Linked DNA regions of Bombyx mori. Each later gene encodes a partner of the first gene's protein in a complex. Links are inferred from orthologs where the notes say so. Each region holds a gene or a part of one and is shown on either strand. Other genes may lie near its edges.

Region 1 (4,511 bases):
GCACCAGATGAAACGTGAGGTGTCCTGCGCCACGATTCACCCAGTCATCAAAGAGTGGGTAAACCACCTCGACAGTCCGTAAGCCCCACATGGGATTGGCCAACCGCCTCGACCACGATTCGAGAAACTGAACCACTAGAATGATTTCCATATTAATTCAGGAATCTCGAATTAATTGCTATAGAAACATATGACTGGTTCATCCGATCTTTGCCGAGGCAAGCTGCCTACATAGAACTATACCAACTTAACAATGACGATAATGATCTGTTAAAAATTGTACAATCTTATTAAACTAAATGGTTATCTATAGAGTCCACAATTGCATGTAATGTTACCAAATTATAAGAAAGATGCTATACAGCAGAATCACTGCATATAATGTATGCAGATGACGTCAATTATGCGTGACATTGCATCTATGTATCCAATTCTTACTGATATTAACAGAATTAATAAATTATTTGAATCAGAAGAAACAGATAATTCAAAACTATAGGATGAATTGACAAATTGATTGATACACTTATTGCCAAAATAATATTACTCAGAAAGTAGATACTTTTACGTAAAATAATCAAGATTTTGTAGACAAGAAATTTTATTTGGGTACAGCTTGAATCTCATATGTTAACGATGAAAGAACAAGAAGTTCTACCGAATAAAGAGGAAATAGTACGTAAGAGGTGTATCTAGTTCATTGTACATTTGATTCCTGAACTAAAAAACAGGTTTCCCGAAAACTTGAAACTCATTAAAAATATTAAAAGAATTAGTGTAGATCATGCACTATCTCACAATAAAGAGCGGGTTGCTGACATGGTGTTTATTTTGAAAAACGCAAGAAGATATTTCGAAAGTTGCCGAGCATCAAATCCATTTACTCAGTTGGAAAAATAACAAAATACAAAGGAATTTTGTACAAGGTACTGAATTTCAAAAAGTTGGCTGGAGAAAACCGATTTCAATATTTAAACACATTTGCTATATCTTTATTAGTTTTACCGAATTCTAACGCTGACGTAGAGCGATTATTTTGCATTTATTTAGCATTAGCATTAGCATGGCAACACAAAAAACAGAAACTGAATGAAGCTAGATTTGCTATCTTCAATTCTCACTGTCAGTGCTAGCTTAAAACGCGAAGGAAAATGCAATGCAATAACTACATACTACCAAATAGCATAGTACAAAAAATTGCGACCAAAGAAATTTATTCTGCAAAAACAGAAATTGTAGAAGAATCCCTTCTTCTGAAGATAATTAAGTTCTTAATTTATTATATTTTAGGACTTCACATAATATCTGTCCGGCAAAACACAAAACAATTTGTGGATTCATTAAAATAAAGCTGGCAGCACTGGAGCAAGTATCACAATTGACAAGATTTTGGCCTAAAGGTCTAAGATACCAGGCCATAAAATCCAAAAAAATATATATCACAATTGACATTTGACAATCTCGACGTATTCCGCCTGCCGATCGCCAGGGCTCCGGATTTTATATTTTAATCCAAAAATTCAAAAGAAATTGCTAAACATGGGCTATAAATTTCTAAAACTTGCCTCTCCTACCTTTAGAGTAAGTACGAAAAAAAATAATCATTTCCTCTTAAAATTTACAATATCACAGAAGTTATGCAATGGTATAGGTCCCACCTATACGTATAGCTGTTTTTTACAGACATAAATACACCATAAATTATTCGATTTAATAAATCTACAAAAAGTTTTTGCTCATCTTTGGATTCGATTTTATTAGAGGTAATAAAAACAAAATAAATAATTAACCTGTAATGACCTTCAAGCATGTGATCGTGTCATTCGGCGATAATCAGAGACGCTCTGATATTTAATCTCAGTAGTAATTTAATTTAAAATTTTATTTATAACTTGTATTTCTATATTGTAGTACTGTTTTTTTCTTACAGAGTGGAAGTTTAGTACGAATTGCTACAAGACAATATGCTACCACACATGATGCAGATCTTGTTGTTATCGGTTCGGGCCCTGGTGGATACGTAGCAGCTATTAAAGCTGCCCAGCTTGGCATGAAGGTCTGAATATTAAAAAGATGTTGTGGGCATCATTTCTATGCTATACATTTTTACAATTAGAATTAACTTTTAAAGATTAATATTAACCTAGAGTGAGTGATAAAAAAATTGGTGATTTCTTTAGGTGGTCTCAGTAGAAAAGGACCCTACTTTAGGAGGTACTTGTCTCAATGTTGGATGTATACCATCAAAAGCTTTACTGCACAACTCACATCTTTACCATATGGCCAAACATGACTTCAAGCAAAGGGGTATTGAAACTGGTGAAGTTACATTTGACTTCAAAAAGATGATGGAATATAAAGCTAATGCTGTTAAAGGCCTCACAGGAGGTATTGCAATGCTCTTTCAGAAGAACAAGGTGAGTCATAGCATTATCAGAAATTTGATTAACTAAGTTTTAAAAAAAAATGTTATATTAATAACGTTAAAGCACATACTATTTCAATTTTGATCTCTGACAAATCTTTTAATATGCTTAGTTAGATCAATATAAGTTTTTCTAAGTTTGTTTTATAAATAATAGAAATTTTACAACTAATCAAGAGATGTGCGATATACACAATCGCAAAAAAGATGGTCATTTTGCATTTTAAAACTAAAAGATCTATAGCCTTATAAGCATATATAAGCGTATATGAATGTATATGAAAAACAAATTAAAGGCTTACTTCATGATTATTTTTCACTGTAAACAAGTATCATTCAACCAGTTGTCTTGCTAAAATAATAGGTAGAAATAATAGGCTTAGTAATTGAACACCATTTTCCAATATGTAGAGGAACTATATTATTATTGTTTTAGTTGTATGTAAAAAAAGGTTATTGTATTTGAATTTTTCATTATTGCAGGTTAATCTTGTCAAAGGTGTAGGAACTATAGTTGCCCCAAATAAAGTTGAAGTACACGGAGAGAAGGGTGTTGAGACTGTTAATACCAAAAATATTCTAATCGCTTCTGGGTCTGAAGTTACACCTTTCCCTGGAGTTACTGTAAGTTATTCTTAATAGATATGTTTATTTTATTAAGTGGCAAAAGGTGCAAATTGACAAAAGAAATTTTCTTGCCCTCACACTAATCATACAAGAATAGATAGGTTTTTGCCTTTTTAGTAGTGGTAAAAAGTTACTTACATTGCGAAAATAGTCCCTTTTGATATTCTTATCTGCTCATATTAGAGGAATTCTGCTTTTGTCAATTCAATTAGCCATGATGTGTTCTAATTGATTACAAAATATAAGATTAAATAAAAAAGAGTGAAACTGCTTGTAGCATATTGTGATTATAAATAGAATAGAATAGATTATAATAGAATAATTAGATAAAACATTTTCCAGAATTCACAACAGGCTTATATAAATAGTTTATGAATAAACTTTGTTCTTCTACTTTCTTCAGGAATGACTGCCTCAGAATAGCAATTAAAAATAATATAGGGCATTGTAGTATGCATTAGTTAATTTAAAAAATAGCTTTGTATTGCGATGCTGCGGCTTTTGTTGTAATATCTCTGCACTGTTGTTTTTGTTGTAATAGTCCTAAGATACCAAGCTGGTGCATAGGGCCTTCATAAGTTGTATCCACTTGACCCTATTTTGCGCTTGCTCCTTGACATCACTCCAGGTCATGCCCGTCTCTCGGCCCGCTGAACGGGGGAACCGGTGGTCTTGTCGCTGGCGGCCACCGGTCCGGCGTCCGTGAGACGGTGGGATGGATGTAATGTGCTCTGCGTCAACCCTGTCCCGCCGTTTCAATAGCCCCGACTGGGCTCCGGCCCGGTCCGAGGTAGGGCGCCGGTCGTGAGCGGCAGGAGTTTTTAGTGAGGTTCAACTCCCACATACCCCACCTGCCGCGCGGGTGGGGATCCGGCGATTTTCTCTTGTGGGAAAAAAAAAAAAAGGTCATGCCCGTAGTCCTCGTCTTGCACTACTGATATTTTATTTGGAACAATAAAAATATATTTTGAAGCTATTACATAATGATATTTCATCATAGTAGTTTTAAAACAATTTTAAAAATCTAGAATCACATCTATACAGTTTGATGAGAAACAAATAATCACATCGACTGGAGCACTTTCCTTGGAGTCAGTACCGAAAAAAATGTTGGTGATTGGAGCTGGAGTTATCGGTTTGGAGCTTGGTTCTGTTTATCAAAGACTTGGTGCTGATGTTACTGCAATTGAATTCCTAACTAGCATTGGAGGTAAAATAATAATTTTGTCAAATTTCAAATAATAAAATATGTACCTGTTATTAATTCCCATATTTAACTATTAATTTAATTCGCTTTATTAATGAAATTTAAAAAAAATCTGTATCAGTCACTATCTAGATCTATCTGCTAAGCTAATTTAATATCAGAACTGAATTTAAAAGACTCAGACAATCACATAAACCTCAGTGTATTAATATTGTCTGATTAGATAAAGTCACAAGATATTGCAAATAAAAA
Region 2 (4,355 bases), about 2.6 Mb from region 1:
TTCAATTATGTATGAGAAAACGTAACAATTTAGAATAATATAACTAATTTGATTTATTTCTATAATTTTATGCTAGCGAATGACAATGTTGTAATGAAATTTACAACTACACTTCAAATTATTTACCTCGCGCTGAAGAATTGAGAAGAATTTATACAAAGAATGTCAGCTTTGTAATTTGATCTTCAATATTATGAGTCAGAGTACCTACATTCACCGTAAGGATTATTAATTATATTCATGTATTTATCAACTTTATAAACATGTTTATTGTGTCTTTAATAAAAGAATTGCTTAATAATCTATTTTTATAATTATTTGATGAATCCCTAATACCTATAGTGGTATATTATTTACCTAAATGACCTAAGCAAAAGAAGGTAAGAAATTTTATTTTAAGTTAACTAGGTAATGTTCATTATTTAAATTTTAAAACCCAAAAATTAAATAAAATTTCAATGTATGTGAAATATGTATATAAATGGTCCGTGTCCTTAAATCACCAAGCCTATCAAATCGGTAATCAAATAAAATTGTATCATTTATTATATATACCCTTGATTTGATATTTATTAAGAAAGATCTAATTGAAGTGGAGTGATTAGTTTTTTGCGTGGCTGTCTGTGGCTCTTCTATTGCTGTTATCCATCGGTGATGGTAGCCAGTTACGTTAGATGGGATAAAAAACAAAATGACAATATTTTTTTTAATAATTCAGTTGAAACAATTATCATATCTACACCTGGATATACCTTCTTTTTTTTTTATTGCTTAGATGGGTGAACGAGCTCACAGCCCACCTGGTGTTAAGTGGTTACTGGAGCCCATAGACATCCACAACGTAAATGCGCCACCCACCTTGAGATACAAGTTCTAAGGTCTCAAGTATAGTTACAACGGCTGCCCCACCCTTCAAACCGAAACGCGTTACTGCTTCACGGCAGAAATAGGCAGGGTGGTGGTACCCACCCGCGCGGACTCACAAGAGGTCCTACCACCAGTAAACCAGTAAACCACCAGTAACCTCACCCAACTTTCTCCAGAACGGGCTTATCTGGGCAGTATGTCGCCAACGGTTCTACCCTAACCTTTAAAAGGTTATCAATGCTTTACGATACCGCCGTAAGTAAGTTAAGAAACACATACAGTTTGAAGATTTTCGTCTTAAAGCATTAAAATGTTTTGGACAATGTAACAGATTAAATCATTTTTCCAAACCATTTTTTCTGCAATTTACTCGATAACCCTCAACACTTAAAGCTATTTAGTCTGGCTTTTTACTACTAGGCATTTATATATTTAACTTTTTTATTTATTGTAAATCATCATTCTTACTGAGAATGTGAAAACTTATTTAAATCTGTTGCTAAACAACACCGACTATGTCGTCATTAAAACCCATTGTATTTTTAATTTTCCATAGTTGCTTTATCAGTCTAATAGTAAAACTCGCAAGTTGGTTATTATGCGCGCTAAGAGTCAAGTTATGGTACGTACTGAAGCAGCGATGCCGGCTCGACCCAGATATATGCATTAGTACGGCTAACCTCACAGCTCACTGACGTCGTACGACTTACGAAATAACATAGTTAAATGAATAATTTACTCAAATGTTAATCAATTCCGTGGCCCACTGATAATGAGGCGATAACGCTCAGTTGTGATCGCGACCGAACACAGGGCTCGCGTCATGCTCTTTATAATTATTTAAAATTCGTGTTCTTAGTTCTTTCATAGCAATGTCGATTCTTGTTCGTAGATCTGTATTCCAACTGAGAACCGTGAACCGGTGCCGGAAAATCAAGGTGACGACGCAAAGTGTGAGTAACAAGAAGTCATATCATAAATACTTATAGCAACAACAAAAAATAAAGATAGGAATAACCTTATGCAAAGACGTTTTAGTATTTACTTACCTTTTGGCTCAGCCATGAAATTATACATATATTGTAATAGATTCCTAAATACTTATAATAGTTAGAATACAATCATTACACATAGCACCTAATTCGCTTAGATGTACAAGCATTATCGGAAGTACCTATTATATCAATTACCTAATATTGCTAAAATAAAATCTGAACTAATTTTAATTCTTCGTGGCAATAAGATAAGATAACAAGAATTGTTGTTGTTATGAAATTTTAATATGAGCGAAATTTTATCTACTAAATGAATAGGTAATAAAGTTAAGATAACATAAATCACAAAAACATCAAATCTTAATGTTTTTTTGTATGAAAATTTATCTTCATCCAAAGTCATAATTGTAAAAACAAAAAATAATAATATTAAAATTCATAAACACGTGATTATATTTAACATATTATAATGTAAAACTTGCCATAATATGATGAAGTTGAAATTTAAGCAATAGTTGTAATACGCAATTTATAATAATGCAAACGTAGGCATACACTTACGTTGACATTATTGTGCGTTTAAGAATAAAACTATCTATAATGAATCTTTGTGCCTAGTGCGAGTTTTTAAACGTTCTCGATAGCGTAAAAGTTAGCTCATATTTGTATGGAATGGGATCGTTAGCGTACGTTTGCTGCCAGGGGCGCTGTTCCAACTGCATACAAAATTGGCTTAACTTTTACGATATCGAGAGCGTTAAGAAATTCGCAGTAAGCACACTGAGTGCCTACTACGCCCTTTCGATACTGGACACGCAAGGTTTTTTATTCACTTGAAATCGTCTAATTTATATGTAACGTGAAGTGGGACTACCGGTATTAACACTTACCAGTTTATTGTAAATGTATTCACATTATTAATGGGGTCCGTGTTGCATGTGTTGAGGACTTCTGGTCGTATAGCAATCATCATTCTGCGATTTTGCAATGTCTGTTTTTGATTAGGTTATGCTTATGATAAAGTGTCCCAACATTTTTTCAGGCGAGAAACGGATCACAGCTATCTTACAAAACGCCTTTGAATGAAAGCTTAAGCAAGGAGTTAAGGCATTTCCACACCAGTCATGCTGTCAACAAAATCGTCGCTTTCAAGCTTTCTGATATCGGTGAAGGGATACGAGAAGTCGTCATCAAGGAATGGTTAATATTACCTTATAATATAAAACTTGATTATATTTTACAAAACTTACCAGTTTAATAAAACCTATCATTTTGCATTAAATATTTAGATTATTTTCATTTCAAGCAGTCAAGCACCTATACCTCGATTTGTAATTTGTGTTACTTACGTGTTTATTAGCCAAAAATATATTTAAATTCATTACTTATTTTCAAACGACGACGTATTATACAAAAATTCAAACAATTGTTTGTATGCTAATAGAGCACGCAAATCATTTCGTAACTTTTATGTCGAATGTATTAGGTAATTAGTTTAATAAGAGTGTTTTAATTTTCGAAGCCTTTTATATTTTAATATAACCCAACATTTAATTGTACGCGGTAACAGATGAAAATGAGTTTCAAGTTTTTTAATTCAAATGATTAATCAATTTTGAGTCCAAGACAAATATCTCGCTAACGACAATTTACAGTGCTAAAGGCGAACTTCCTTTTGTCAAATTATTCACTTCAATTGATTTTATTTGTTAAATTTGGAACTAAATATTCGTGTTTCTTTCAAGGTTCGTCAAAGTCGGTGATAATGTTCAACAATTCGACAACATTTGCGAAGTACAAAGCGACAAGGCAGCTGTCACCATCACTAGCCGATACGACGGTATCATAACACGACTGTACCATGATATTGATCAGACCGCTCTTGTAGGACAACCCCTAGTCGATATTGACGTGCAAGACTCTGAAAATGACGGTAAGCTAAGTTTTTTTTATTGCCCTTGTAGACAAACGAGCATTGTGAGTGGCTAGTCATGGACGTTAGCAATGACAGGGCAGTGCCAAACCGCTGCCTACCGTTACGTACTCTCTGCACAAACGCGATTAAGTTTTTTATCTTATTTTTGCTATTGCTTAGATGAGTGGACGAGCTCACAGCTCACCTGGTGTTAAGTGCTTACTGGAGTAAATGCGCCACCCACCTTGAGATATAAGTTCTAAGGTCTCAAGTATGGTTACAACATAAAGTGGACATAAACAAAAAAAATGTTAGTAAATTAAAAGTATAAATGACAAACGCGAATGCTAAACCGACCGACAAGCAGCAGCGCTATGGTGTTTAAAGCCGTCACGAAAAAAAATCGTTTTATTGATTTATTTAAATAATAATTTTCTGTAATAGCTTAACTGTATTAAGTGGCTACTTTATATAAGCAACCTTAATAAGAAATTGATGATATTGAAGTTCCCAGTATATTGGAAAAACTGATTGAACACCTACTTTTAGTGTATCTTTAGTGATAAAAAAAAAAGTAG

The links.
Region 2: the proteins of DLDH (region 1) and lipoamide acyltransferase component of branched-chain alpha-keto acid dehydrogenase complex, mitochondrial are in contact, whole or in part, in a crystal structure (PDB 3RNM), measured with the Homo sapiens proteins. The link is inferred for Bombyx mori from reciprocal best matches to the Homo sapiens genes DLD and DBT. Residues at the interface, in NP_000099.2 of Homo sapiens: Ser446, Thr447, Asp448, Arg449, Glu472, Tyr473, Gly474, Ser476, Glu478, Asp479, Arg482; in NP_001909.4 of Homo sapiens: Thr174, Pro175, Ala176, Lys196, Arg199, Leu201, Lys202, Glu203, Leu206.

What each region holds. Positions count from the first base shown.
Region 1 is NC_085128.1:7,019,379-7,023,889, forward strand, and holds the start of DLDH (dihydrolipoamide dehydrogenase), read left to right. Parts: upstream 1-1,469; 5' UTR 1,470-1,539; coding exon 1,540-1,581; intron 1,582-1,930; coding exon 1,931-2,056; intron 2,057-2,180; coding exon 2,181-2,417; intron 2,418-2,908; coding exon 2,909-3,049; intron 3,050-3,337; exon of another isoform or gene 3,338-3,935; intron 3,936-4,096; coding exon 4,097-4,262; intron 4,263-4,306; exon of another isoform or gene 4,307-4,511. UniProt on the Homo sapiens protein: Lipoamide dehydrogenase is a component of the glycine cleavage system as well as an E3 component of three alpha-ketoacid dehydrogenase complexes (pyruvate-, alpha-ketoglutarate-, and branched-chain amino acid-dehydrogenase complex).
Region 2 is NC_085128.1:9,588,420-9,592,774, forward strand, and holds the start of lipoamide acyltransferase component of branched-chain alpha-keto acid dehydrogenase complex, mitochondrial, read left to right. Parts: upstream 1-1,517; 5' UTR 1,518-1,739; coding exon 1,740-1,820; intron 1,821-2,904; coding exon 2,905-3,062; intron 3,063-3,607; coding exon 3,608-3,795; intron 3,796-4,355. UniProt on the Homo sapiens protein: The branched-chain alpha-keto dehydrogenase complex catalyzes the overall conversion of alpha-keto acids to acyl-CoA and CO(2).